Linked DNA regions of Struthio camelus. The protein of the gene in region 1 interacts with the protein of each later gene in a pairwise test. Links are inferred from orthologs where the notes say so. Each region holds a gene or a part of one and is shown on either strand. Other genes may lie near its edges.

Region 1 (6,898 bases):
CATACAGGGCTTCACCAAGGAAAAGGTTCCCCACACGCGGCCTCAGGGCTTAAAAGGCCTTCCAGATACAGGCGGTAGACTACGTTCACCTTCTCTTCCAGAGTCGCTAATTTGTCCCAGAGGAATTAGTTAAGTTTGTCCTAACAGAATCTCATCTCATACATTCCTGCCACATCTAACCTCACTGGGTCTTCCTGAATGATTTCTCTCTCCCAACTGGTACTCACAATAACTCCCTGCACTGCTTTATCTTTGAGTGTCATTAATCTACCATCTGCCTCCTCTTGTGGAGCCTTAAAGAAACAGAAGAGGATAAAAAGGCACAATGCAGAACTTTGCTGCCACCAGACCCCTCTTCACAACTCAAGACGCTGCTATTTATTACTAAACTTTGTTTATAGTTACACAGACACTCTCCCACCCACATGGCAATGTTTCATTCAAGACAAGTTCGAATTCCCTTCAAGAACAACTATTTCAAAGGATCCCAAAAGCATTTGTTTACAAACAGCACGCACGGAGAATTTGACTAACCCACCAATGAAACACGGTCTCCTCCAAGACAGCAAGAGGCAGCTGTTTCATAGCGCCCAACGCTACTCAACAGCTGAGGGACAGGAAATGAACAGCAGACAACTGATATTGCAGAGGAAATTTATGGAAAATGAGGGCTGTAGACTTCTATTTGCCTGGAGAGAACGGGAAAGCTTTTTTGAGCACTCAAGCTCTTCTCTGGTTCAGGAGGAATTTAAGGAGGCAAAGCGTCCCAGACTGTGGTCAAAGGAATAACTCCTAATTTCAAGCCTCATCTGAAAGCTGGCACCTCCAGAGCTAACAGGAACCTGGGCACTGAGATAAGTTGGCTGCAAAGGGGTGAGCACCCCCTACTGAGGCAGCCACACGGATTTCCATCCAAGCACTGAACAGGCCCAGCCCTGTTTAACTTTCAGAACGAGCCAAGATCACAGCCTAGGGAGGTATTTGGCTGCAATAGGAAGACACTAGGAAGACTATAAAACTGAAAGCCTTTTGCAGGCCCAGCCTCCATACACAAGACCTACTGTAAACACTAAATCTTATGAGGGGAAAAAAACCCAGAGGAAGAAGGATCATGCAACTCTGTCAAATACCAAAGTGCTAGGAATGGTGAAGGGTCACATGCTGTGGAAGCCAAGAGGAGCTACGTTCCCAAGACAGAACTGGAGCTCCTGAAAAGAGCTGGAGAAGAGTCAGACGTAGGAAGACGACCCTGGGCAAAACAGAGCAGGGACAAAGGGTTCTACGTTAAATTGAGTTCATTTGGGACTCGTTCCCCAGAACAGATGCTGACTTCACACAGGTGGGAGACAGCAGAGGCTCCTCGGAAAATCAGTCTGTACAATCCTCCAAACAAGAAACAGAGAGCAACTCCTCACCTCCAAACAATCACGCATGATGGAAGGAGCCAAACATTGCCACAAAGAAGCAATGAAAATAAGGATGTTGAAGGAGAACTGCCCCAGATGATACAGGATGCGAGGCAGGACTGCTCACCTCTTCCATACAGACCCATCCCAGACATCAAGCAGAGGACATCCTATCCCTGTACGCACCCTCCTCTCAGAGATGGGGTACATGTGGGGAGCTCTCATCCACTTTGCACAGAGATAGGGAAGGAGAAAGCTAGTTCCTTTTATACATCCTTCCTAAGGATGAGGTGGGGAGAAAGAAGCTGCCATTTGCACTCCCCAAAATAGAGATACCAGAACAAAACTTCTCCTAATCCCCTCCCTGCACAGGGTTTATGGAGGGAGCACTGCCTTGTTCTCTCCACCACAAAGGGTGCAAAGGGCACTGTCCCCAGACAGGCACAACAGGAGATACCCAGGCCCTTTAGATAGGGCGTACAGGGGGAATGACAATCCCCAGTAGGACACACAGGGGGATGCCACTGCTACATACCTCCAAGGTGGGGTGCACCATGAGGTATGCTCTCAGACAAGGGGCTGTCCCGCACACAGTGAGCAGGGGGATCCCCAGATGGGGTGCACAGCACGATGCTGTTCCCTAGCTGCCCTCAGACAGGGTACATGGGGGTTCCAGCCCCACAGAAGATGAAATGGAGAATACTGCTTCCAGTCCTCCACAGGCAAATTAGAGGAGCAGCTTCCCCCCCAACAGTGCACTTAGAGGGGGGCCTCTCCCCAGATGCAGCAGGAAGGGGCTATCAACCCCAGGGGAGGTGCATGGGGGGGGGGAACCATCACCAGTCCCCCCAGAGACGAGGCAACGGGGGGGGTTTACTGCCCTCAGGCAGGGTGCACATGAGGGCCCCCTCCCCACACCCGGCACAAGGAGGGCTGCTGGCCCCAGAGGGGGCACCGCCACCAGTCCCCACAAAGATACAGCAACAGTAGCTGGGTGCGCGTGGGGGCTCCCTCCCTAGACAGGGCACAAGGGGGCTGCTAGTCACAAAGATGGCGTATGGGGAGGGGGGGCACCAGCCCCCACAGACAACTATATGGAGGGGAGAAGGAAGAGAGCTGCCCCCAGACCCCATGCGCGGGGTGGGGGGGGGGGGGACGGGCTTCCCTTCCAACATGGGGCACGTGGAAAGGGAAGCTAATCCCAAACCCCAGCCTCCCTCGCAGGGGGGCACCGCGGAGCCCCTCAGCCGGGCCCCGGGGGGGGAGGGCGGGGGGGGGTCCCCGCAGCCGGGCTCCTGCGGCAGCCGCCCCCCGCCGGGGCCGCGGGCTCGGCCGCGCTCACCCGAAGTCGTCGTCCATGGACTTGAAGTAGAACTTGTAGTTGGGCCGGTTGAGGAGGCCCTTGAAGTCGCCCAGCGTGACGCGCTCGGCCGGGATCGGCAGCTTCACCAGGTACGGCGTCTCCTGCTCGTCCAGGTGGTAAATGATCTTCGTCTCGGCGGCCGCCATGGCGCCCCTGCCCGGCCGCCAGGCCTCCTCCTCCTCCTCCTCCGCCCCCGGCCCTAGCCCCGGCCCGCGACCCCCCGGCCGCCGCCGCCGCCTCAGGCCTCGGCCCGGCCCCGCCGCGGCTCCCGGCCCGGCCCCGCGCCCCGGCCCGGCTGCGGCCCCGGCCCGGCCCGGCCCCGCGCCCGCCGCCCCGCGCCCCTTGTTCTGCGGGGCCCAGCGCCGCCCGGCTCCAGAGCGCAAGCTCGGGCTCCGGCGGCTCCTCCTCCCCCGGCCTCCCGCCCGCCCGCCCGCCGCCCCGCCGGAACCGGAACCGGCACGCCGCGGGCTCGAAGCGGCGTCCCGAGATGGGCCCCGAGCTGAGCCGAGCCGAACCGGGACGCCACCCGGCACCCCGGGCTGGGCCCGCACCCGGGGGTGCCCCCGGAGCGGGACGCGACCCTCCGAGCCCTGGACGCCCGCTTACGGCGTACAGGGCACAGGAGGATCCCGCTACTTCCCCTGCCCCTTATCGCCGCGCCGTGCCCTTCCCTGATCCTCAGACATCAGGCACTGCAGTGCCCCTTCAAGTTTCCCCAGCCTCAGTTCCCTCACGAGGCAGCTCTCCCAGCGCCATCACGTCTCTCCCTACTCTGCTCTTCGCAAGCATCCTTTTTTCCACATAGCGCAGCCTCTTTGACCGTGCAATATCTGCTCTGAAAGCCCCTTGGCTCCATGGGTTTCTTGCCATCGTCTCTCTCATGGCACACACTGCTCCCCAAACCCTAGTGCTCTCCTACCCGCAGTCATCAAGGCCTGTGAGCCTAACGCCAAGGACTTGCATCCCAGCAATCTTGGGCTGGCTAGCTGGCTTCCCCTCTGGACACCCCACCAGCATCCCACAGCGCACTGAGGGACAGGTCTCCAGCAGCGGTTTCCTGGAGCTGCAGCTGGGAGCAAAGCCGGGGCTGGATGGAGCTTGGGAAACGCTCGCCACCAGGCAGGGCAGGAACAGCCTCACACTGACCTGGTTTGGCAGGAACAGCAAAGGTAGAGGAAGAACCACCTGTAGGCCCCCACCAGCAGCCCTTGGAGCCAGACTCACCTGGGGTAAGAGGAAGGGCAGAGAGAGCTTACAGGGAGCAAGGCCAACCTCCATGGCAGGCAGGTGTGAGCCGCCTCATGCATGAAAGAGCCCTGTAGGTGTTGCCAGCAATCATCTGGGTAGCAGTGGTGGATGGGGTCAAGAATCTGACATTAAAAAAAAGTATCAAGAAAAGACCTCAGGTAAGCAGAAATTCTAACAGGCTTGAGGACCGCTCATATTTCCACACTGGCTCTTGGAAGAGTGTCACTTTCTCATGCTCAGAGCTCCATAGTAAAAAAAAAAAAATGGTGTACTTGGAAAGAAGAATCCAGGTCAGGAATGGAAGGATTTAATTTAACCTGTCTCTTGCTATGTCAATTTCTATAGCTGTCCTCCAAGGTTTAGGGGGTCCTTAACTTAATATTCAGGGCCACAGCAGAACCATTGCTTCTCTAACTGGGATGCTGTTTGCCAGAGTAAAGGGAATTTGCTGCAGGAGGCCCTGCTCACCCTGTCTAGATACCTAGGTAGTTGCTGCAATGCTAGCTTGCAGGCCAGTGCCCTGGGACTTGACAGAGAACTAATGTAAAGGTCCTTTTGCAACACCTCCCTGTCACAAAAGCTAGGCCCATGTGAAATACTAGCACTTTTCCCTTGCTAAGCGCCAGGGCTGCTCTCTTGTCCCCTTTTGCAGCTCCTGAGCACAGTTGCGGCTGCGCCCCAGAGCCTCTGTCAGATACGTTAGACATCTCTGTTGCCAAAAGGACAATTTTCTGAAGCGTTGAGCTCACAAGGGACCACATACAGCCACAAGGTAAAAGGAGGGGTGCCACACACCCATAGAGCTGTAGGAGACCAAATCCCACACTTGCATCGGTAACAAGGGCATTATTACAGCTGCCCTTTTTCTTTTAAACAGGCCAAGTGATTGAATACACTCAGCTGATAGATTGATTTAACTGCTTGCAGAAGTCTTGTGAAGTATGACTCACTCTTAATGAATGGAGGTAAAGAACACAGCGCCAGAGAAATTAGCAGTAGGGGACCAGGCTGAGAAGTCTAGGTCCACAAGGAACAGTTTCTCAACAGCCTGTTGGCTTATATCTACATTTGAAAGTCACAGCACTGATAAGCACTGCTTCTCCTTACAGCGTAAATGGGCTCCAGGCATTTTAATGCCTGGAAACTTGCTCAGAACAGCCTGATGCAGAGATGGACGTACTTGACTTCCATCCCTTTTACCTTTAAGCAATGGTTTTTTTTTTTTTTTTTTAAATAAAGACACACTATTGTTCAGCTGAAGTTATGGGCTTGCTACAGGAACCACCAGGTGAAATCCATCCATCCCTGTTAGATGGGATGTCAGACAAGGTGACTACTCTGACAGTTCTTGGCCTTAGGGGGGAAAAACAAAACAAAACAAAAAACTGCAAAGAATGAATCTACTTACATCGCTCAAAAAGACAGATAATAAGGACTGCACAGTCAAGGTTGCTCCCAAAGGCATTTCTGCTGTTCCAGCCAAATATAACTTTTGATCGAAAGCAACAGAAAGCATCAAGCCCACCCTACGCTTAAGCAACCAGTGCTTCTTTAAAAAGGTATACACTTACCCGCCCTTTAAAAACATGGATGCTGCACTATGCCAGAACTCCATCTTGGGGAATATCGAGTATTCTACTTGGAACAGTCCTTTTTCGCTAATGGAGTCTCAGCACCTATAAAATAGTATTGTGTATGTGGTGGAGGCTAAGTCCTGAAGGATAAGGGTTTTTGGCTATAGGGTACCATTCGACCCTTGATCTCAACCTCTGGGTAAGAAAGTGGCTCACATCATGAACAAGTTGGCCACTATGAAGCAAAGGAGTCAGGAACATGGAAGACACAAAAGTGGAATTATTACTTGGCACAAAGAATCAAGAGCCTCTCACTAAAACAAGCCATTTATGGAATTACAGCTTAAACCTTTTTTTTTTTTTCCTAAACAGCTTAATCTGATTTTTTTTTTAAACCAGCTTTATATTGTAAAAGCAAAAAAATACCTAAGATGTCTGGGGAGATTTTAAAAGCATTTATAAACCAGCTGTGAGACTCAGGAATTTTTAAAAGAGCTTTGCAGCTGCCCTTCCCCCTCTCCACCAGTTCTTACTCTCCATCACCAGGAGGGCATGGTGCAGCACACACAAGCCAACATTCCCACTAATTCTCATCATGCCAAAGGATAGCAGGTTTCATAGGATTTAAGGTTCATCTTTGTAACATAACCCTGTACAAAAACAAACCTCAGCCACTTCAGGATTCTGAAGTTCAGCAAATTGTTCTCTATTTGTAGATGGTGAGGTCATGAGCTACCATTGAGCACTTATGACAATTCAATGGGGTGTTGATTTCCTACCTGCCTATTACGTGCTTGAAATCTCTCAAGAGAAAAGCAGCTATGTGTTATTTAGCTTACCCGTAAGCCCTGCTCAGGCATATGCCACAACTGGAGACATACAATTCAAGCTCAAACAAGGCAGACAAGCCACTAACACCAGGATAGTTTTTATTTGCTCCCTGAATTAAATATTGGCAGATACAGAAAATTCAGATACCAACCAATTCCCCAACATTTACAAGACTGAGTTTGCGATGTCAGAAAACAAGCGCATTTACGAACAATCCTGGCAACTGATACTGTGAGTGCACAAGATCGCTCTTGCCTGAACATCAGTTTAAGAGGCAGTATCCCTGGCCTCCAGCATCCAACATTGTCCCCTCACTGACAACTGTGGCACCACGGAACGGCCAAGTAAATATCCTGAGTGGGCAGCTCCAGTGCATTTCCCCCAAGGGATTTATTCTATGCTCCTTCTGAAGGGGCAGAGGCAAGGTCAGCACATTCAACATACAACCCCCTATCAATAAAAGCTGATTCTCGCTG
Region 2 (7,117 bases), on another chromosome or scaffold:
CTTGTTTCGTACTATTTAGAATTTCTAGTAATTCGTGCTACTCTTTCATATCTTCCACTGGAGGGTAATCTTAATAGATGCAGGTACATTACATTCCTAAATTTTATTTTCACTAGGTTTGTCTATTCTTGTATTTAAAATAGTGCCTAAGATTATTGTGGTAGAATGGTAGGACCCTACCAATTAGGGGGCATTCCAAATTCCGGAAGACACATTTTGAGGTGCAGGGGAGAATGGGAAAGATTATGAAAGAAGTGTGATAATCAGGAATGGTTAGCTCTATATTTGAAAGAAAAGACATAAAGAAAGAGCCGTCTCTTCTCAATGGACTGTCTTCAACCCCCTGTAACTTCATTAAAGAAACTACAGGAAGACTGGAAAATGGCGGGGGGGGGGGGGAATTAAGCATAAAATTAAATTGGGAACCTGAAATCTGATGAGGAATATTGGAAATCATTTGTACTTCAGAAAATTAATGAGAACTGAGAGGCTTTAAAAAGTTATTTTAATGTAGTTATGCCCTACTGTACAGTTTGAATAACTGAGTAAACTTTATTTTTTTTTTGTTTTAAATGTTTCATATCACACACAGCACAGATTTTAAAAATAACCTCTGTTTTAATAGATTATGTTAAGCAAACAAAATGGGCCTCTATAAAAGACTGCCACATTTCAGTTCTTGAAACAGCAATTACCCCTGGAAAAAGAAATATATACTATTAGCTGGATCTCTCAGACACATAATTCTCTACTAGTTGCTGACTCAATCATCACATTTGCAGGAAGCCCCGAAAGCAAATCCACACTGACTCCTCAGAGATCAAAGAGGATAAAATCTAAGGATGAGCAATTCTTGTGCAAAATGCAGTATGGCAGTAGCTCTGTACTAATAAATACAGAACTATTATCTCCTGTGCAATTTTTCTAGTGTAGGCTCTACGCATGAAGATAAAAGTGACAAACAAAATATCTATCGTTTCCAATCTAGCTACCGCACACAGGACAGTAACAACAGAGTTGCCTGATTTCTTTTTATCAGTTAATTTGGATTACAAATTAAAGTATGAATATACCGTACTTAAATGTGACTGGATTTACCTGAGTAGTCAAAAACTGAGGTAAGAGTATCCCAGGTCAGCTAAGATTTTTCAGATTTTAACTGTTGTCTTAATCTCCACCCAAAACCCTAAAGGTAGCCAACAAAGATTTTGCATAAGCCTTATCACCATTGTTCTCACAGCAGTCTTCAGTCTTTTACATAAGCCTTAGAGAGAGAAAGAATGATGTTCTCTGCCTCTAGACAATCCACAAGCTTTCTGCTAGAAACACAGAATTTCCAGCAGGCATATGTTCTATATCAAGGATAACCAGTATCTGGGTAACGTAAACAAGTAGCTTTCACTAACGTTATTTCAGAACGGCAACTGTGTGCTGCAATACAAAGCACTGTTGTCTAGAAAAAAAAAAAAAAAAGACAGCTCATGTACTAGGTATACTGCCTAATATACTACATGCATTAGCCAGTGACTAATTCTTTTTACCCTCCAGACATATGCAGATAACCTACCATGGCTCCTGTAAGTCTTTTTCCATGTCTTTGGATGCGCCTTCTGAAAGTTATCACAACTTTCAAAAGCAAAATGCTCACTTTCATGTGGCAGTATATAAAATTTACATTTGTCTGGATTTACCTGACTTCCTAAGGTTTGATGGTTTGTAGAACGGAGTGTTTTAAAAACACACGTTTCAGAACTTGTTGTACACACCGCTGCTTATCAAATGGTTAGTGAACCACTAGGATGGAAAGCTACAAAAACAGACAGGAAAAGACAGTCCTAGTCCTGCAAACTTTACAGTCACATAGAAATCACGGTAGCAGAATAAGATGTATGCATTAAGATGTAAGGGCAACATTCAAGCAACAGGATAGCTGAACTATGCTGATTCTATGAAGGGGTTAAAATGTTTTTAGCTCCAATCTAGTCATCCTTAGTTATCTCATTTGTTTAGGCCTCACTGGAAAACCATAATCCTCCCTGTGACAGCAATTTCTCCTAGTCCACTGCAATTATATTTATTGCAGAGGGTCACGTTTCTATTTCAAAACATTTTTCTGAATGGTTTTTCAGATGAAGGGATTGATATCCTTATCCACGTTTTACAGATGAGCAGGTTGACGGTGCCCAAGGTCACAAGACAACAATGGGAAGAGGCAGGCATATAATCCAGAAGTCCCGATTTCCGCACTGTCTAAATTAGGACATGACGCCAACGAAAAATTAAGTTATTACTGCACCAGCGGCAAGGTACCTCATATCGAAAGGCATTTTTTGGTCTGTGCTCCAGCGAGAATGAAATGAGGTCCCGGGAGCAGCCCCCGACCCAACCTCAGCGGGGGGCAGGGTGCAGGCGGGAGCTCGAGCAGCGCCCGGCCCGGCCCGGCCCGGCTCACGCAGCTCTCCACAGAGCGACAGACCCGCCAAGTATGTCCCGGGTAAGCCCTCCTTACCCAGGTAGATGTCCCCAAAGGAACCGCTCCCGATCTTCCGGCCCAGCCGGTACCGGTTCCCGACCCGCAGCTCCATAGCGGCAGCTCGCTCCGTCCGCGATCCTGCCCGGTTGCCCTGTCCACCCTACCGGCTCGCGCTCTGCCGGCTCACAGCCCTACGGTTCCTGATGCCATCGCGGCCTTGGTCCCGCCGCGCGACAGTGGCGAGGCAGGCGGCACCAGCGCCGCAGCTCCGCCGGAGGATGGACGCGGATTCCCCACAGCCCCGACACCTCAGCCCCTGCGGCCCAGAGCCGCCATACTGCGTGACCTCACTTCCCTAGCAACGGGGGTGGGGCGCGCCCGCAGGCAGGGCGGAGGCGCCGCCGCGCGCGAGGAGCCGTGCCGCGCGGGTGCCGGCCCGCGTCACGTGTCCCCCTGCGTCTTTGCCGCGCTGTTTTCGGCCGCCGCTGCCGGCCGTGAGGCCCCTTCGCGGGGAGTCTTTCGCGGCGCCACTGGCTGCTGCCGCATCGCGCCGCATCGCATCGCGCCGCGCCCTGGGCCGGCCGCCCCGCCCCAGCGGCCTGCGTCGGGCCGTGCCGGACGGAGGGAGCGGCCCGCGGCCTGCCGCGTCCCTCTTCCGTAAAGACGTGGGAGGCTCTGCGGTGGAGGTGGCAGTCCGGCTGTGCTGAACTGGGTTCCGAGGAGTATTGGTGTGACTGTGCGGTGTCTAGAGCAAAGTCTGAGTCATGTCCATCAGGCCCTGCCAACTTCAGTGGTGAAACGGCGATCTGAGTCATCCCTGCTTGTGAACAGTGTCTGGACCACTTCTGTGGCCTTCTGGGGGGTAGAGGGTGACTTGAGTGGGGAGAACCACCTGTGTCTGTGCGGGTGTGGGAGACGAGTGGTGGGAGAGTGTGTTTCTGTAGGCCTATTTTCTCGTTTTCTTGCAGCAATGCTGCTTGAAAGCACTGCTTTTGACTGGCCAGTGGTCCTATTAAATTGGATGAATCAAGAAGTAGCCTTGTCTGATGGCACCTAGGGAGCTGCATTTGCAAGTGAAGAGATAGACTGTGAAGCCAGCCCCTGGTGTGAGCACAGGGGCTGCTGAATGAGCATGGCTGGGCTGCAGATGACAGTGGACTGTGATGTAAGAGCACTGGGAGTGCTAAGGATGGTGTATGTGCTGGAGGTGTGGGGTGGCAGAGGGATGGAAAGTAACGGTTAGTAGGTTTCTTGGCAAAGAGTCTCTGACTGCCTCTGACTACCTACTACAGTTGTTTCATATACTGTCCATGTGCAATGGCAAGGGAGAATTTTTCCCTCTCCTGTAACTGAGCAAACTGTAAAGCCTGTATCTTGGAGACACTTGCTTCCTGCCACTAATATTACTGAATTGCAGGGTTTTTGGGTTCATTCTGCCTGGGTGGTGCGGCAGGTCCCAACTGCGTGGGCAGTGATGCCTGAGTTGTGTGCCAGGCCTAAGCTGCAGCTGCCTGTCTAGCAAGAGCTGCAGTATGCTGCTCAGAGATGAGAAGTGGAGCTGAGCAGCAGGACTAGTCTAGATGGCTACCTGTGTTTTAGTTGTTAAGAGCCTGCAGTGTAAGTGCACAGTGAGCAGTAGAGTCAGAGGATGCATGCATTAGGCAGCTCTCGGCACCATCTTGCCTCATCAGTTGCAGGGCAGAGTATACGGTGCCTTTCCCTGCACGAGCAAAGTCTGGGTCCTGCTTCATAGAGAATGATCGAATACCAGAACAATTGGTTTCTAGTCAGGATGTGTTGTCACAGAGAGTCATCTGGGTGACCTGGGGATTGTCCTGTCATGTGCGGTGGAAAGGGAGCATGGCCTCATAGGATGGCTGGGTTGTGAGCAGGTGAAGGTTAGGGCTAGGTGAGGGCAGCTGGGATAATGTGCTATGGAGAAATATGGAGATAATACGGAGAAAAAAATGAGCGTTTTTTATTCCCTGATAGGAAGAACAAGGTGGTTAGTGCCTATGGAAATCATGTGCAAGTACGTGTCAGTTTTGCTCAGGGAGTGCTTGTAGAACACTGCAGACTCAAAACTAGAAGGAATCTTTTTACTGAGCCGTCTCTCTATCATGCATGGGATCTCTGGGTTTTGGCCCGTGGCAGTGCTGAGATGATCGTGGTTCCCCGCGACGTCCTACGCCAAGAGGAAAAACTATGCTGTGTGGTACGTGCTAGAACGGATAAAAGCAGAGTAGTGCCCTTCTTGTTGTACGCATCGGGGAGCACTCTGTGTGCCCTTGGCATTACGGGTGTCCTGACTGTCTGGGCAGAACTAGTAGCAGAAGCACATATGCAGTCAGGTCAAGTGAGGCCGACAACCAGAGACAGGGAAGGAAACAGAGCTCTGTTAGTTGGGGTAATGAAGCACATGTACAGGTTGAGGTGTGAATTGTGAATTGCTTGGGTCGCGTCAAGTTACATAAGGCAGTGAAGGTTTAGGGCGCAATGGCAGAGGCAAGGGGCTCTACTTGTGTTCATGAAAATGCAAGCTGCGTTGGTTCCTGCTTAGGTAAACAACTTTGTGCATGCGGAGGAAGCTGCGGTGCTAGTATGGAAATGGAAATGGACAGGAGGCTGTATGTAATGCATTAAAGAAATGTCTTTTTTTCCTCCAGTCTTGGCCTTGTTTCTTTTGCAGTAGGAGGCGAGCTGAAGATAGGAGTAGAACTGTCGGTCACAGCTGACTGATGGAGTTTCCAGGTTGTGCCCCTGATTTTCACCAGTGTGCTTGTGGGTATATTGAGGGAACAGTGACTCTGTTGGAAACCCTGGGATGAGTTCAGCAAAGTGTGGGAAGCTGCATGGGAGGCATGGCAGGGAATATGGACAGAAAGGAGCTTGTTTCTCGGGAGTGAGGATGTTTGCGTGGGAAGAATGGGCCAAAGGGTGGAGTTATCGGCAAGAGATGCTAATGCAAAGGCCAGAAAAATCTAGGGGGCAAGAATTGGTTGAGGGAAGAGGCTTACTGTGCAGAATGAAGTGATTTCTGAGTTTGTTTTTTTCCAGTAGCAGGATCAGCTAGGATCAGCTGGTACCTGTCTGTGTGAAAGAACAAAGTGAGTGTCCATTAAGGTGAAACAGGGTTGTGATGTAAGCTGTTGGTTCTACAGACTGCTGTGTGGGGTCTTGACTGAGTTATATTCCTGTGACTGGAGCTACAGAAGAAGCGTGAGAAAAGTTGTAAAAGTTCAATTTGAATAAGACACAATTACTGCCACCCCAGGTTAATTACTTGGGAGTTGTAATTGGAGAAGCAGGAAGACAGATGCATAGAAGAAATATTAAAGTCTTGTATGTAACTGAGTGACATTTTGTTATGCAAATAACTGGATAGCGATGGGGAAATTCCAAACATACAGTTTTACTGGAGAATACACGTATGGCAGAGCAGGCTGAAGGTCTTAATTGTGTGTCTTGTTCAATGTTACAGGTGCCAAAGACTGGATGACGCTTGGCAGAGGCGATCAGCAGCAGAGGGAGAATCCTGTTGATTCCTGTTGTGGCTCAAGTAACATCAAACACCTCTTTGCTGAGTCGGTGACTCAGGCACAGGGCTGTGGGTGTGTAATCCAGGCCACTCCTGCTGTCTGTTAGTCTGCAGTAGTGAGAAAGCATCCCATGTCTCTCACTGTCCTGGCCAGACTCAGTCTCCTGTTTGAGTTTTGTAGAGTCACAGCACTCCATGTTCCCATCCCAGTAAGATAAGCACAAGCTAGCCCTTGACTGCAATTTATTCTCAATTAATGCAAATGATGTTAGATTCCATTAAGGGAAACAGCAAGGCCTGGCCAGGCAGCCCAAAACCCGCTCGGCTCCATTGCTGGCACTGCTGGATGTCAACGTAGCTCATGCTGTATTGGGGTCCCTCTTGCTGCCCGCAGTGTGACTGTGGTGACCCCACAGACCCCAAATACTCCAAAAACCCTGCCCAAAGCTCCTCCTAATGCCCAAATGACCCAAATCCAACTCTCCACCTTTTCTTCCTCTCCCTGTCACTGTCCAGCTCCCTGTCTCCCCCCCTCCCCTCCTTCACTCCCAGCCCTTTTGTTTGGTGCCCTGTAACTCTCTCTGGCTCCCCATCCTTCTTATTCTCTTGCCGTGCTGCTGTTCTGTTCACCTCTCTTTTCCACCCTATCACTCTCTCCCTCAGTCTGTCTCCCCAACCGTCTTGTCTTTGCTCCATCCTTCTATCTGGCACCCCTTCCCACTTTTCCTTGTTCTGTACCGCTGTTCACCTCGATATCCCTCTTCTCCTGCTCCCCATCCCTCTGTCCATCCCTTTGTCCATCTGTGTGGCCCTCCATCCCTCTCTTTCTGTCCCTCTGTCCAGCTCCCTGTCCATCTGTCTGGGTCTTCATTCCTCTCCTCCTTGTTTCCATCCCCCTGCCCAGCTCACTATCACTGTCTTCCTCTCCCCTCCATCTGGCTCCCCATCCCTCTCTTTCTCTCTCCATCCCTTTGCCTCTCAAACCCTTCTTCCCTTTCCATTCCTCTCTTCCCCCCACCCCACCCCATCCCTTTGACTGCCTCTGTATCCCTTTCCCTTTTCATTCCTCTCTTCTCTCCCCTCTCCCGCCACCCCTCTCGCCTTTA
Region 3 (7,838 bases), on another chromosome or scaffold:
ATCAGTGAAACCGAGCAGAGAAAATAAAGAGAAAAAGGTCCTTTCACTAGGAAGAGTTACACCCAGGGTCCTTCCCCCACCCCGGCAGCACCCCCGCCGGGACCCCGGGCCGGCCCTGCCCGCGCAGGGCGCAGCGCAGCGCAGCGCGCGTCGGCGCGGCCGCCTCCGCCGAGGCGAGTGGAGCGCGGAGCGCGGCCCGGGAGCCGGCGCGTTTCCCACGAGCGTCTGCGCCTCCGCATGGCGCTTCGTGTTTTCCCCACGGGGGCTGATATTTTTTTTTCCTTCTGCCGTGGCGGAAAGCTCCGAGGCCAAGCAATTTCTTTGAGTTTTTCCACCTCCCAAAACATCGAGGTGTTTCCTTAGCGTCCGGGAAGGGCCCCAAAGGCCAGCGATAATCACGGCCTGCGCGCAGCACTCTGGGCACCTGGAGACCTGCCCTGCTTTAACCCCCCTGGGCGGGACAACGGCCGATCCCAAATGTCACCGGGTTTGGCGGCTTTTCTTTCCAAAGGGCCGCCCCACACCTGGCCGTGCAAAACAGGGCACGCTCGGATCATTGCAACGGGACAAGGCCCCGGAGCCACCGCCGGGCCGGGAGCGGGCAGCTCCGGACCGACGGCCCCGCCGACGCCGCCCCGGGCCCGGCGCGCTCGGGCTCGCATGGGCTGCCCAAATCCGGGGGGGGAGAAGCGGGTTTCTCCCGAGCCCTTCCTTACGGATTGCCCCGGCCTCCGTGCTTGAAAAGCCTCCCAGGGCCGGAGAGCCGCAAACACCCCTCCGGAGGGTCACCGGGAGTTCGCTGCGGGAGGAAAATTATTTGTTATTAATAACGTGCTGAAAGATGATGTGATGGGAGCGCTCGCGCTGCAGTTGTTGCTCAGGCACAAATCTCGGCGGGCCTCTGCGAGCGGGGCACGGCGGAAGGGCCGGCCAGGGCAGAGTTCCTAACTATTTTTATTATTAATCCGTCAGTGAATATATATATATGTGTGTATGTATATGTATGTATATGTATACGTATGAAAAATAAAAACTGTTCACACACAAAACCCAGGAGGCGTCCGGAAAAGAAATTCCCTCAAGGTTGGAGGAATGTGCTCTCCGCGGGATTAAAACTCGCGGCTGGGTCGCCCTGCGGCGGGGCGGGCCGCGGCGCTGCGCGGGGCGCGTTAGCTGGCCTGCGAGGCGCGCATCCCCGCGCAGCCGGGCTCCCACGAGGCTGGGCAGGCGGGGTGCCCATGGAGATACCATGCTGCGCAGGGGCGCAAACTGCGCGCCGCTGCCCCGCCGCTCTGGACAGGCCCCGGGGCGGAGGAGGGAGGGTTCGCGCGAGTGCGGGACCTGCCGTCGAGGCTGGCGCAGTCGCCTAGCGTGGGGGAGGGAGGGCTGGCACTGCGCGGGGGCGGGCAAGCGGGTAACCCCCCTCCGCGCTCCTCCGCGCCCCACTACGCACAGCACTCGGGAGCGGGGGGGGGGCCGCCTCCTCGAGGAAAAATACCCCAGCAGGCCGGGGGGAGGGGGGGGGCTGTGCGGTCTGTCGCCCCCCAGGCTGGCGGCGGGCGGGGACTGCCCGAGCTGCTCCCCGCAAAGCCGGGAAGAGTTTTTTACCTTCCCATTCGTTTCTGAAATATTTTTTTAAAAATCGCTGAGTTTGGGACAGGCTAGGGGTGGGGAGGGCGGGGACCCTCTGGGCAGAAGGACCGGCGCCTGCACGCCGGGCAGGGCGGCGGGGCAGGGCGGGTGCCCGCCGGGGGGCCGCGGGCCGCGGCGCGGCCGCGCAAAGGCGCGCACATCGGCGGGGAGCGCGGAGGCAGGTCCGCCCGCGGCCGGGCTGGGCGAGCGCTAGATGGAGTGATGCATTAGCGAGACGGGGAGGTTTTAACCTTCAGGGGGAGGAGCCCCGTTTAACTACAGGCATTTGTTCTAGGGCAGGTCACTTTAATCTCTTTAGCTTTAAACTGTCCAACTCGCAACTCGCGTTTCTCTATAAGGGATCTTTACCACTTTCCTGCCTATGCGGCCGGACTGCCGTGCCTCTCCTCGAGCAAAGACAACCAGCTTCGAGGCATTGCCCAGATCTCTTCTTCTGAAACCCTTAAAATAATACTGTTAGTAATAAGTGGATTTGCTTTTGTTTTTGTTGTTTTTTTTTTCTTAAAACAAAACCAAAAAAAAAGCTCCTTGTTCCTTTCTGTGTGGAATAAACACCTGCAAAATCCCCCAGGCAGCCCGGCGCCCCTGCCATGGATTCCTTTAAAGGTGGAATGAATTTGGAGAGACTGCCCGAGAGCTTGAGACCCCAACCCTCCCATGACATGGCTTCCAGCTTCCATTTGCAAAGATCCTCGGAGCCCAGGGACCCGATCGAGAACTCGGCCAGTGAATCCTCCGACGCGGAGGTGCCAGGTAACCCGCGGCCCGGCCCGCGCCCCCCGCCCGCCGCGGCTCCGCCGGCCGCCCGGCCCGCACCGCTGCCCCGCGGCGCCGGGGGGGCAGCAGCCACCGGCTCTTTCCCTAATGAGCGCAATTAATTGGAGGCGAAGTGGAGGGGGGAGGGGGGGCGCGGGCAGCAGCCGCCTCCGCCGGGCCCCGCGCTGACAGCCGCGGAGCCGAGACACATGGCTACGCGCCCCAGCCCAGGAGCGGCTTTTTTTTTTTTTTTTTTAACAGATATTAATTGATCGGAGAGAAGGGAAAGGCGGGGGGCTCTTCGGGGAGCGCGGTTTTGCCGGATGTTTCTGAAATAATGTCAGCTTTTGCCCGGGTTTATTTTCCAGCTCGGGTGGTGCAGACATGTAAAAAGATCTCTCTGTCAAAGGAGGGGGGAGGAAAAAAAAAAATGTCCCGCCGAGGAAGAGAGGCGGCGCAGGGCCGCGGCGGGCCGGCGCAAGCAGCGCGGCCGGCCGCGGAGGGATGTGCGCGGCCGCAGCGCGGCGGGGAGCGCAGGGGGCTCCTGGCGGGGCCGCGGGCTCTCCGAGGGCTCCCGCACTCCCGATCGACGCGTGCAATTATTGCAGGGAAAGCTGTGGTTTCCCAGTTTGTATTTCATTAGAGCAGCAACATTTCTAGGATGACAAAGCAGGCTGCGAGCAGGAAACAAAAGCTGAAGGAAAGAGCGTGAAGTCTGTTCTCCGCCGTGTCTCTTGCAGGAGACGCTTATATGTCATGCCATTTTATTTTTTTATAGTTGTTGTTGTTCTCAGTTTTAGCAGGTCCTATAATCTCTAGAGTGGCCGCGGCACGAGTCAATCCCAAAGTGGCACACGGTGATAAACAGGGTCTGGTTTGTGCCTGCCCGTCTGATTCGCAAACAAAGTTAGGGAGCGCTCAGCCCGGAGTCTGGAAGGGACTCCGAGATTAGAGAGGATTATTTGAGATTAGAGAGGGAGATTTGCTCCATTTTGCCGTACCCCTATATGTGACCCCTCAGTGCTGGAGGAGGGCTAAGGACCTGCCTACTTTTCTACTCCGAGAAGTTACAAAATACTTTTCACATTTTCTTTTCCTTTTTTTTTCTTGATGGAAGAAAGGAAACAAATGCCAATCAAATCTAATGTGTGTAATGATTTGAAATTGTACCAGAGCCCTGCTCGGTGGCTCGATTTTTAATGAAATCATGGCTGGGCTAAATCCGGAGAGAGGTTTGCAGTCGCCTGGATGGATCACCGCTGCCGCTGCAATGGTTTTTCCTGGGTTTCGCCGAGCCCTTCCCAGCCAAAAGAGAGAGAGGAAGGGGAGGGGGGGAAGGGGTCCCGAGCAGTATTTGTGTTTTCCGTGAACACCTTCGGTTTCTGTTTCCGCGGCCCTGGCCGCGGGGCCGTGCGGGCTCGGCCGGTCCAGCCGGCCGCAAGGCCGGGGCCGGCGGGGCAGCATCTGGACATCAGGGAAATCCTAATGGGGTTTCTCTTGCAGGCCTTGTTTGCTCTGCAAACCACTTACTGCAGATAGAGGCCATCCGGGCGGCAATAAGCCCATTTACCACTTTGGGGTTTCCATTTAAGCGTTTGAGCTCGCTCTCTCTCCCTTTTATTACGGAGGGTTCCCAGGCAAAGGCCGATTAATGGGTGACTTTGCAAGGACGAGCCCGCCGCGCCGGCCGCCGAGCGGGGTTTGCGTGCGGCCCGCGGGTGTTTCAGGCTGCCGGTTACCTCGCAGGGGTCGCGGCTGCAGAAATGCCCCCGGGTCTGGCACCGCCGGCCGCGGAGCAGCGAAGGGGGCACAAGCCGAGGCGGCGGAGCCGGCCGGGCGCTTGCGAGACAGGCGTGCGCGGCGCGCTCTGCTCCCGCGGAGTTTCACTTCTGCTGCAGGCCCAGCCGGGCCGAGCCGGGCCGAGCCGAGCCGAGCCGAGCCGGACCGGGCCTGGGCCGCCACCAGCCCCAGAAACCCGCGGCCGGGGCCGCACCTTTCCGCGCTTCAGCCGCCGCCGGGCCCAGGCCGGAGAGTGTATTTAGTTCAGGCCTTTCAGTCCCTTTCCGGGCGTCTAAACCGGGCCAAATCTGAGATTTTGGGTGAGGAGTGCTGGAAGGGCTTTTACGAAATGAGTGAGGGTTTTTTGCCCCCGTTGCTGTGGGGTCGGGCCTGGATTCCTGCCTCCAGTCCTTGCAAATCTCGATCACTAAAATGCGGCTGGGCTTTTTTGATTTAGCTCTTTCGATACGTTTTTTTGCGGAGGACTACGCTCAGCTTCGGGTTAAAATAAACACTAAAATCCTAAAAGCAAACCAAAAAAAAAAAAGTGGAGGAGTAGAGAGGCAGAGAGAGAGGGTGCCTTTTGCAATCAATTACTGCTGGGTTTTGCGCCCCTGCCCTTCCAAAGTTTCCTGTCGCGGCCGAGCACAACAAAGACAATGGAGCAAAGATCGCGCCGTAGGTTTAAAGGAGGAAAAAAAAAAAAACTCGGGGAGGGGAAGAGAGGCCGATGCTGCAGGGGACCCGCTCCCTCCGGGGCGGCCCTCGCCCCTCGGGCCCTCTCCGAGCCGGGCAGCCCCCACGTCCCGCCGCCTCCCCGCCGGGCTCGGGCCGAGCAGGGCACCGCGCTCCTGCCGCGGCCGCGCCGGGAAACGCCGGGTCTCGCTGCGGGGCTGCGGGCGGCTGGCTGGCGGGGCCCCGCGTGGGCCCCCCCGCGTGTCCCTCCGGCGGGCCGGGCAGGGGGCTGCGGGCCTGCCTTTGTGTGTCTGTATTTCTGTTTGCAAAAACACAACCAAAACAAATCAAACCCAACCCCAACCCCAACCGACACCTCACCGCAGAAAAGGAGCGAAGCGGCGAGCAGAAAAGCGAGGACGGGGCCGCCGACGACCCGGCGAAGAAGAAGAAGCAGCGGCGGCAGCGGACCCACTTCACCAGCCAGCAGCTGCAGGAGCTGGAGGCCACTTTCCAGAGAAACCGCTACCCGGACATGAGCATGCGGGAGGAGATCGCCGTGTGGACAAACCTCACCGAGCCCCGAGTGCGGGTAAGAGGGGCGCGGGTGACCCCGCTCCGCGGCCGCGGGGTGCTGCGGGCGCCGCTGCGAGGACGCAGCGCGGAGGCAGCTGCCGGCGCGGAGCATCGCGGGGGAGATCGGCCCTTTCGGGAGCGCGGGGCCGGCGGGGGTCTTGCGAGCAACGCTGGGCCGATGTGGGGTTTATTTTAATTGCAAAACTTCGGGTCTCGGCCGAAGGAGGGGAGACCCTTCGCCCGGCCGCGGGGATGCCGCCCGGAGCCGGGCCTGGGGAGCCGGAGGGGCACCGCGGCGAGGCCGGCCACGCCGGGGGCTCCGCCACATCATAGCCATGGTCATAATGATAATAATAATATTTCAATAAACTGCTGCTTCACGCACTTTTGGCCGTTGCGTCGCGGCTCAGCTGCGCGGTCCCTGCGCGGCCCCATCCTCGAGGCCGGACGAGCTCTTCGCGCAGCGGCGGCGAAGCCCCCGCGGCCGCGCATCCTGCGCGCCCCGGGTCGGCCACCCCCAGGCCGGCAGGCCGGTTTGTTTGCCGATGCCGCCGATGGACAAACCGAAGGACAAGGGCCGGGCGGCGATTGCACTCCAAAGTCAATAAGCGTGGCGGACACATACTTGCAAGGCGAAGGTGCCTGGCCTGGCTCTGTCTGAGAGCCGATGCCACCTCGGAGCATGTGTAGCCACGGCAGTTGTTTGAAGAGGGAGGTTAACGTGCGCGGTATCTCCGCAGCGCACGGCCAGATCAGAGCCGCTCGGCCTGGATTGATCCTTAGACTTTCGGCCCGCCGTGCCTCGGCCGGCACGCTTTCCCCGCCTCCCCTTTGCTTTCCTCCCGGGATATTTCCGCGGGTGGTTTCGGGCATCGGCGGTCGCCCCGCGCCCGCCCGGGGCCCCGCGGAGGGCGCGCGGCTGCGGCCCGCGGGACCGGGGCGCGAGGAGACGGCGGGTCTCCAGCGCCCGCATACGAACTGCCGGGGAAAACGGAGGTGCGCGGAGCGCTGGCTGCCGGGCACAGCAAGGGAAAAGCTACTTTTGTCTTGGCAATTAAAAGGCGAGTGACCAAAGCAGATCGCGGAGATTGTGTTTTGAATCTCCCCGAAGTAAACAGCCGTTGCATCTGAAAGCATTGTCTTAATTGCATTTAAACAAAACAAAGCCAGGGAGAGGGCTAAACTGCGTTAATATTGCTGGAATACTTCAGGAAGCAAATAAAACTAATATACGAGTTGCCATTACCATTATTTCGTTCTCCCTCTGTATGGAGATGTTTTGGTTTGATGTTCCGAGATTGCAGCTTGCAAATCTAACCTTGATTTGCTTTGAGGGCCTTACTTTAAAATGTCTAGGAGCCATAATTAAAACTATTACCCTCATTTTCAGGAAATTCCTGTCTGGAAGCACCTTCCGAGGAGTGAATTACAGGTTTTGAACATGTTGGCTTTCGTTTCCTCTTCGTATTTATATGGGATTCTGTTTTCTTCTTATTATTTTTTTTTTCAATAGACCCCGCCATTCTTTCCCTCGAAGTTTCCAGCCCTGCGATCGGGGTTCACTAATAGTTGCGCCATCCCTGTGCCGGGAGGCGAGGCCCGAGGAGCGGCCCCGGGGCCGGCTCCGGCAGGCGGAGGGCGGGCGGGCGGCGCGGGCTGCGGGCGCGGGGAGCGCAGCCTCCGCGGGGCCGGGCGCACCGAGGGGCCCGGGGTCTGCGGGGGGATGCGGCAGCGCTGAGCCGCCGGGCACGGCGATGCTATTTTTTTTAACCTGGAAAGAGAATTGGGGGCTGCCCGGCGCGGGCGGCCCTTCCTGCCCCGGCTCACGGCTCCCATCACAGGGGACTCAAACAGTTTCCTAGGGCTAAAAGAAAAAGAAAAAGAAAAAGAAAAAGAAAAAGAAAAAGAAAAAGAAAAAGAAAAGAAATAGAGAGCCTGTATCAGGTTTTTGCATCAAACACCAGGAGCGGCCCCCGCTTCTCTGTTCCCTAGTCAGGGCTGTAAATTCTCATTAGATATAAAGGCAGAGGCTGCATCCATCCAAGGGCGATGCAGCGACTGATTTTTTTTTTTTAAACCTAAACATACTAATCCAATCCCCCTTTTTATGATCTGTAACAGGGGACTTTTATTACACGGCATTAGCATGGGGAAACACGGCGGAGCCGGGGCGAGCCGGCCCTAATCAGCACGGGCCGCGGCTGCGCCCCGCTCCTGCGCTCGGCGAAGGGGAGCGGAGGGGGCCGCTGCGCCCCGCGGGGAGCCGCGGCCAGCGGCGCGATGCGCACACGCGGCTCGGGGCAGCCCGCCGACAGCCAGCTGCTGCGCGCACAGCCGCAGCCGCGGAGGGATGCGCGCAGGGGCAGGGGTGCGCGCAGCGCCCTGGCACCCCGGGGCGG
Region 4 (7,461 bases), on another chromosome or scaffold:
CGGAGGATGATTTCTAGGCTGTTCCTGGCTTTTTTCCCCTGAATTCTGGGAAAAACTACAGTGCGACGGGCTGGCCAGAGGGACGGGGTGCCCGCTGTCGAACGCAGGTGCAACGTTAGAGGTAAGAGAAGGCTCCCTACCTTAGAAAGGCTCACGAGCCCCGTATCCTGCCTTTCCTCCTGCCGCCGGTGTTGCGGCCCTACCTATGCAGGAAGGGCTCTCACCCCATCGTTGTAAGGCATCTTCCTTAAAACCTGACTCATTTCCTGCAGGGCAAGACGAGGACGACGCAGGTGGGGAGCTATGAATCACCCGCCGCAGCTGGGAAGGACGCGGGCGGCCCAGCTCCCGCCGGGGCTGGAGCAGCGGCCACCGGCGTCGCCGCTCCTCGGGCGCCCACCGAAGCGGCGCGCTCCCGCTGCTCGCTTTTGTGCCCCGCCGCTTCAAAGCCCTTGTCTCCGGCTCTGCCCGCCCCGGGTACGCCGCCCACGCAGTCGGAGCCCGGACTGGTTCTGCGACCGGCTCGACTTCCTCAAAGCCGCGGCCCGCGCGCGCGTTGCGAAAGCGCCGGCGGCGCTCGGCAGCCTGTCTCGGAGGTGAAAAACGCCGCGAGTCAGAGCTCTCCGAGCCCTGCTCACCTAGAGACCGAGTTACAGGCCCCGGGCGCGACTCGCGTAGACAAATCAATCCGCTTGGGCAGATTACGGCTTTAAAAACTGATGCGAATGACTAAAACGCCGCTGGCCCTGGAGATATGTCCTGCCCCTGGAAATCGCTGTGCTACAAATCACAGCGATGTAAGAGCAGCATGATACCAACCAGCTCCCGCGCTAGGATGGATGGGCAGAGACGCAGGTTGCTTATGCAAGTAGCTGCACGTGGCGCGGCCAGCCTGGCAAAGCGAGAGCGGAGAAGGGATGCGATGGCTCTATAAATACATCACCGGGGAGGGAGAAGAGCTATTTACGCTAAAGGACGTTGCTCGCGTGAGAGCGGATGGGGGTAAATCGGCCCTGAACGCGCTCGGGCTGGAGAGGAGAGGAGGGTTCCTGGTGAGCGCAAGTGAGCCCGCGAGCAGCCGCGGGAGGGAGAGGGCTTCGAAAGAGCATCCCCGAAAAGGACCATCTGGTGGGACCCAGGAGAAGGCAGCCACCGAGCTCCTGCCAGCCCCGCAGGACGCGGGAAACACCTCGAGGCAACACGACGGCAGCGCCTTCGTGTGCCCCGGGACGCGGCCGAGCAGCGGGCGGCCGTGCAGGGGGCCGAGCCGGGCTCCGGCTTCCCAGGTGCCTTCCTGCCGCCGGCGCCGAGCCCCTGCCAAAGAGCACGAGGACGGGAAGGCGGCCGAGGCCGCGCGAGGATATAAATTAAGCGAGCGGTAACGGAGCCATTGAAAATGGCACCGTGCAAGCTGCCGCGTGTGGCGTTATTTACAGCCCTTAGGAAAAACACCAAAGTTTGTAACTATTTCCTTCTATGTGAAAACATTGATTTTTGCCAGCATGAGCTTTGAGCTGAGGTTCTCGCGCTTAATAATACAGAGATGACAAAGCAAAGGCTGCTTGTGCAGAGCCGCAGGCGGCTCCCTGGCGGGCCGGGCTCATTTTCTGCCCGACGGACCCGCGGGGGAGACGCCGTCGGAGACGGGCGCGGAGGAACGGGCAGGAGGGCGCGAGGCAGCGTCGCCGGCGAAGGCGGCTCTGCATCGCTCGCCACGTCCGAAGTTTCTCTCCCCGCCGGAGAAGAGGGGAATTTCCCAGCCCTGCAGCTCTCCCTGCTCACGCCGAACCTTTTTTTCCTCTACGGACAGGAACCCCGAGGCCGAGAAGTTGCCGTGTGCCGGGGACCAGCCGCGATGCCGGCGCTCGGAGCCGCGGCCGAGCGAGACGCCGGCGCTGGCGGCAGGAGACGAACCACGTCGCGCACGGGCAGCCGTGACCCAAGATGCGCTCTGCCCTGGGGACGAGCGGCCGGTCCCCCCGGCTCTGCCCGAAAGCAGGGCTTTGCCGCTGCCTTCGCGCCCTAGGAGCATCTCCGCGGGCAGCGGCCGCAGCGTGGCCCGGCCCCGGTCCTGCCTTGCAGGTGCCCTGGGCTCCCCTGCAGCCAGCAGCGCCCGTAAAAATAGAAATTCCCACGCCTGAGCTCTCTGTTGGGCAACCGCAGCCCTAAACCGAGCGCAAACTTCACCCACGGAGCCTGTAAAAACCTAGGAAATACCAGCTTCTCCTAGCTGCCCTCCGCACCCGCGGCGCCCCATTAGCAACCACGATAACAGGCTCTCCCCTGCACGCCTGGCCCGAGATGGGCATCAGAGGGGGGAAACTGAGGCACGGGGGGGAGGCTTTTCCCCAGGGGAGAATCCAGACCGGGCGGATGCAATCTGTTCCCGCTCTCGCCCCTCCGTGGGCTCTTTTGCAGCTTGTTCGCTCCCAGTTTTCGCTCATTCTCTCTCCAGCGGGCTGGGAAAGTAAGCGGGAATCGAAAAGCTCGCCTCCCAGGGCGCTGGATCCCGCTTGCCCTGCACCCAGCGCCCTCCCCGCCACGCTCTGCTCTTCCCAACGGCCAGATGCTGCTGTTTTCACGCAGAACGGGAGATTTCCATGGGACCGAGACGTCTTCCTGCCGGGAAAGGCCCTGCCGGCCCGCGGCCCCTCCTGGCCTCATTGTTTGCCGAGGGGCTGCCGCCGTTATCAGCGCCCGGAAGAGGCAGCTTTGCCCCAAAGAGCAGGCTCGCGCCTGAAATAAACCACCAGATTTCCTTCCTGTCGCTGAAGTTTCCAGCCGACCTCAGTTTTTGTTTTTTTGGGGTTTTCTTTTTTTTTTTTTTCCCTTCTCCTCTTTAATGAAAAACGTCCTCAAAAACCAGCCTCTTCCAGCAGCCCAGCGCCGTTGTGCAATGAGTGCGTCGCAGCTCCGGAAGAGCGCGGTGCGGCCGGGCCGGCGACGGGGCCGCAGCCCCTGAACCGAGGCTTCGCGCGCCGTCGCAGCCGCGTCTTTTGGTTTCTCCCCACCTGTTTTCCAGGAATCCCAGCCCTAGCAAGAAGAACAAGGGTCTCGGAGGCGAGACCTGCAGCGATGATGGGAGGCTTGGCCAGGGCCCGGCGCTCAGCCCTGAGCCTGGCAGAGCCCTGCACATCCCGCTTCCCTTTCCGGCACGCAGCGGCCATCACCCGGCGAGCAGCATCCCGCCTGCGGGTTCGCTTTGGCCGCAGCTCGGCGGAGACGGCCGAGAGCCGCTCGGACGGAGGTGAAAGGAGCAGAGGGACAAAGCCGGCCGCGTCACCAGCGCCCCGGCTGCCCTCTGCCTTCAGCACTGTTTGCACCTACGCGTCCCGGTCCGGATTCGGCCCCTGCCGCCAGGCCGGCACCCGGGGCTGCAGCTCCGCTGCGCGACAGCAGCTCATCGAACGCCCGACGGGTCCCCGCCGCGGGGACACCGATCCCCCCCCCCGCCCCGTCCGCCGCGGAGGGGGAAGCGGGAGGAGGCGCCGGCCGCCGTTGCTGCTGCGAGCCCGAGCAGGATCCGGCCCGCTCGTTAGAAAGCATCAATTAAAGGCGCTGTCTACAAAGGCGGGGGGGGGGGGGGGGAACGTGAAACCCTGTCATCTCGCCAGCGGCCGCGGGCATCGAGCGGCGCGTCCCGGCCCCGCCAGCCGCGATGGGTCGTTTCTGCCTCCTGCCCGGAGCTGCCTCCCCGCCGGTCGCCTTCCCCCGGCTCTCCCGCGTTTCCAGGTCCCAATTACCGGCTAACGGGCAGCGTTTCTCCAGCCCCCCCCAACACCCAGCTCCCCTGGCAGCCGGCTGAATATTTCATGCAGGAACACAGAAGCACTTAAATAATGTATGGGCCAGCGCACAGCAAGCGCGCAGCGCGAGGGGAACGGCTTGGCGCCTCCACCGCCGCCTCCTCCTCCTCCTCCTCGTTACGGCCGGGTTAACGCAACCCCTCAAGCCCCCGCGTTTCGCCCGGCTCCATCCCGCGCTGCAACGAGTTCCCCCCCGCCGCCAAAGCCGCAGGGAGACGCGCGGCTCGGCTCGAGAGCGCCATCCGAGGCTGAGACCGCTCCTCTGCCCTCCGTCCCTGGCTCTCCCCCTCCAGGATCGCTTTGCAGCGCCGTGTGCCCCACTAGCCAATAAGTATTAATTAATTAAACCCTGCTGCTGGGTTGGGTTACCGCAGCGGGGCTGCGTTCGGGCACCTCGATAGGCAGAAACGCTCCGGGAACGAGCGCCTGTACCAGCCCCGCGACGTCGGCTCTCCTCCGCCGCGCACCCCCCCTGCCCCGCGAGCGCCGGGCGCTTTGGGCTGGCTGCCGCCGGCGGGATTTAACGGAGCCGTGACAGCCCGGAGCGAAGAGCTGGTAGGGATGAGGCCTTGCCAACTCATTGCACGGCTGCCGGCCCTGCCAGCCCCTCGCCGCACCCAGGCGCGCAGGCAGCCAGCCCACGCAGCGGGGTGGAAACCAGAAGCCGCCCGAAACAGCCGGTAGGGTTTCTCCTTCGTAACGAAGCCAGCGCCGCCGATAAGCCTGCCGGGCCTGCTGACTATCCGACTCGGTCCAAATTTAAAAAAAAGAAAAAAATCCCACGCGGAGCTGAACCAAAGCCTGGGACCGGTGCTCTGCCCCGGCAGCTCCGAGGCCCCTGCGCAGGGAAGGGGGCCGGCCGCTCCGGGGGGCTCCCGTGGCGGCCCCCAGCATCCCGCTTGGTGGGAACGGGGGCTGTCGGCAGGCAGCCCGGAGGAGGAGAGCGCGGCCCGGCGTCGTCTGCTGATGGAGAGGATACCGGGCCCGCTGCGAGGCCCTGGACGTTCCCCCTGCTCGCGTCTGGGAAGAGGGGAGAGGGCCGAGCTGCGGCGGGAACCTCGCGGGATCGCCCTTCCCGCGCCGCAGGAGCCGGAGCATCCCAGCTTGCAGCCGGCCGGCCCGGCCGCGCCGCGGGGAGGAGGGCGAGCGGAGCTATTTTGGAGCGTGTGTCTCGCCTTCTGTTTCCTCCTCCTCTTATCGGGTCGGGATCGACAGTTCTCCCCTGCAGCGACTTCCTTTCGCCTTGGCTCAGGAGGAGGCAGCGCTTCGACGGGGGAGCGGAGGGCGAAAGGGAGGCCAGACCTCGCTCCATCCTGCTTCCCAGCGCCGGGGACCTCGGCCGAGCGGCACATCACACGCTTCCTGCCGAGGGAGCTGCGGCTGCCGGACAAAGCCGCTCGGAGAGCAAGGAAACATTTCGCCGACCGCAGCTCTAATGCGGACGGGGACGGTCCTGCTGCGCCTAGCGCGGCGAGGTCCCCATCCCTGCCACCCGCCGCCACCTTTCAAGTCAATAAATAACTTTTATGGCTCCGGTCCTTCCTCCCCAAACCTCTCCGTCTGCTCTGAAGCCGCTAGAGCTTTGGCTAGCGGGAGTCAGCAAAGGCAAGTTTTATACCCAGCCTTGCCATCGGCTTATCGAGCAGTCCTTTTGGGGAGATCCCCCCCCCCGCCTCAGTTTCCCCATCAGCCCAAGGGGATTCGTATCTCGGGGGTTGCAGAAGTTCAGTCGTTTGAAACACAGAGCCCTTGAACGCGCGAGGGAAACGGAGCGCTCCTGGGAGTTTAGGCACCAAGGAACGAGCACGCGTGGGACAGGCCGGCGGCGCACCGGAGCCAAGTCCTGCCCCCGGCGACGGGAGCTGCAAGGACGGGGCCTCGGGCAGGTCGACGGAGCGGAGCCCTCGCGCCTCCTCTCCGGAGAGAGGCCTGGAGACCACCTTTCGAAACTCCCGTCAGCCGTGCCGCCGGCTCCGCTGTTTATTCGGCGGAGCTGGGAGCCGCAGAGCTCTCGCCCTCGACGACTTCCCGCGGCCGATGCTCTCCGCAGGCCAGTTAGGTGTGGTGCACAAAAACACATCCTGTTGTCAGCCCGCGAGTTGCCACTTTCCGCTTCACACCCCTCCTCGGCTTCCCCAAGAGCGAAAACAAAAGCTCCCGACCATAATTATCGTGAGATGGAAAGGAGACAAGAGGTGGCGGTTCCCCTTTACGGGAAACGTAATAACCCCCCTCTCCATCCGAGCCGGTTTGCCGTTCTCCCGCGCGTGACCCCCAGGAGGCCCAGCCGGAAAGCGGAGCCAGGAGCTGCCGAGCACCAGCCCAGGGCTCAGCCCACCAAAGAGCTTCAGCCTCTTGGTGCTTTCTGAATCCTTGGTCATCCCCGTCTCCTCCTCCCTAGCACCTCTGGTTCTTAGAGGTCCCCCAGCCCCTCTCCTCTCCTCCCGAGCGGCAAGGAGAAGACGCCCCAGCGTGGGCACAGCACGTGCGTCGCTGTGCGCGCCGTGCCCGGACCCAGGCGTCCGGGGCACCCAGCCGGCCAGGCGCAGACGGGTCGGGGCCTCCTGGTTTCTCGGACAGCGGCTTGACCGCTGCCGCCTCAACTCGGGCAGGAGGAGAGGGCCAGGCGGTGGGCCACCCGCCGCCCCTCTAAAGAAGCGGCCAAGTCTCGTGGCAAGAGCGGCGGGTTGGGTGGCCAGAAGACCCCCCGCCTTGTACCCCCTGCGCGGGGGAGATGCCTGGGTGCTGAGGCCGCCGAGACCCCAGCCCCAGCCTGCACCCCAAGGACACAAAGATGCGGAGACGGGGATGCTCTCCCTTCCGAGGGGGAAGCCGGAGCGGCTGCTCCCGGCCTCGGAAGTCAGGCCGGCGCGGCCGCCGGCGGGGAGCGAGGGGCCGGAGGCGCGGCCGGCCGGGCCTCGGCGCTGGCAGCCGGGCTCCGAGCGCCCCCGCCGCCCGCCCACCCGGAGCGCCAGCCCCCCCCCCGCCGCCGCCGCCGCCGCCGCCGCCGCCGCCGCGCAGCCCTTACCTGCGCCCTGCGCCGCGGGGGCGGCGCTGCGGGCCGAACCGGGCCGAACCGGGCCGAACCGGGCCGAACCGGGCCAGGCGTCCTCCAGTGCCGGGGGCGGCCAGAGGCGACGGGACGGGGCGAGGGGGGGGCGGGATCGCAAAGGCGGGGAGAAAAGAGAGGGGAAGGGCTGGGCCGGGCTGGTGCCGGTGCCCGGTGCCGGTGCCCGGTGCCGGTGCCGGTGCCGGTGCCGGTGCCGGTGCCTCCGGCTCCCCCCACCCCCCCCCCGCCCGCGGCTGCTACAAAGTATCGGAGCGGGGCAGAAGTCGGAGACATCGGGGCAGGGGGCGGTGCCGGCCGGGCGGCGCCTGCCAATGGCAGCGCGGGGCTTGCTACGAAGCAGCCAATGGGAGCTGGGTCTGCGGCGGCCGGAGGGGGGGGGGGGGGTCCCCAAGGCGGTGTGGCCGGGACATCCCCCCCCCCCCCCCCCACTCCCGCTCCACGCGCGGGGTCCGGGTCGGGGGGGGGCTCGGGTGGGTGCCGCCTCGGCCCCCGCCGTCGGGGCTGCGGGGGTCCCTACCGCGTTTCCCACGGGGCGCCCGCTCTCACCCTTTCCAGGCTTTGTCCCCCCTTTTCCCATCCTTATCG

What was found.
Region 2: the proteins of DVL3 (region 1) and CSNK1D interact in binary tests that used the Homo sapiens proteins (3 or more experiments, as listed by UniProt). The two-hybrid records come from large-scale screens. The link is inferred for Struthio camelus from reciprocal best matches to the Homo sapiens genes DVL3 and CSNK1D.
Region 3: the proteins of DVL3 (region 1) and PITX1 interact in binary tests that used the Homo sapiens proteins (3 or more experiments, as listed by UniProt). The two-hybrid records come from large-scale screens. The link is inferred for Struthio camelus from reciprocal best matches to the Homo sapiens genes DVL3 and PITX1.
Region 4: the proteins of DVL3 (region 1) and TNFAIP8L1 interact in binary tests that used the Homo sapiens proteins (3 or more experiments, as listed by UniProt). The two-hybrid records come from large-scale screens. The link is inferred for Struthio camelus from reciprocal best matches to the Homo sapiens genes DVL3 and TNFAIP8L1.

What each region holds. Positions count from the first base shown.
Region 1 is NC_090950.1:22,511,107-22,518,004, reverse strand, and holds the start of DVL3 (segment polarity protein dishevelled homolog DVL-3), read right to left. Parts: upstream 3,001-6,898; 5' UTR 2,916-3,000; coding exon 2,749-2,915; intron 1-2,748. UniProt on the Homo sapiens protein: Involved in the signal transduction pathway mediated by multiple Wnt genes.
Region 2 is NC_090960.1:59,279-66,395, reverse strand, and holds the start of CSNK1D (casein kinase I), read right to left. Parts: upstream 3,001-7,117; 5' UTR 2,586-3,000; coding exon 2,510-2,585; intron 1-2,509. UniProt on the Homo sapiens protein: Essential serine/threonine-protein kinase that regulates diverse cellular growth and survival processes including Wnt signaling, DNA repair and circadian rhythms. It can phosphorylate a large number of proteins.
Region 3 is NC_090954.1:4,282,907-4,290,744, reverse strand, and holds the start of PITX1 (pituitary homeobox 1), read left to right. Parts: upstream 1-4,827; 5' UTR 4,828-4,918; coding exon 4,919-5,455; intron 5,456-7,838. UniProt on the Homo sapiens protein: Sequence-specific transcription factor that binds gene promoters and activates their transcription. May play a role in the development of anterior structures, and in particular, the brain and facies and in specifying the identity or structure of hindlimb.
Region 4 is NC_090967.1:4,560,478-4,567,938, reverse strand, and holds the start of TNFAIP8L1 (tumor necrosis factor alpha-induced protein 8-like protein 1), read right to left. Parts: upstream 3,002-7,461; 5' UTR 2,665-3,001; coding exon 2,367-2,664; intron 281-2,366; exon of another isoform or gene 141-280; intron 1-140. UniProt on the Homo sapiens protein: Acts as a negative regulator of mTOR activity.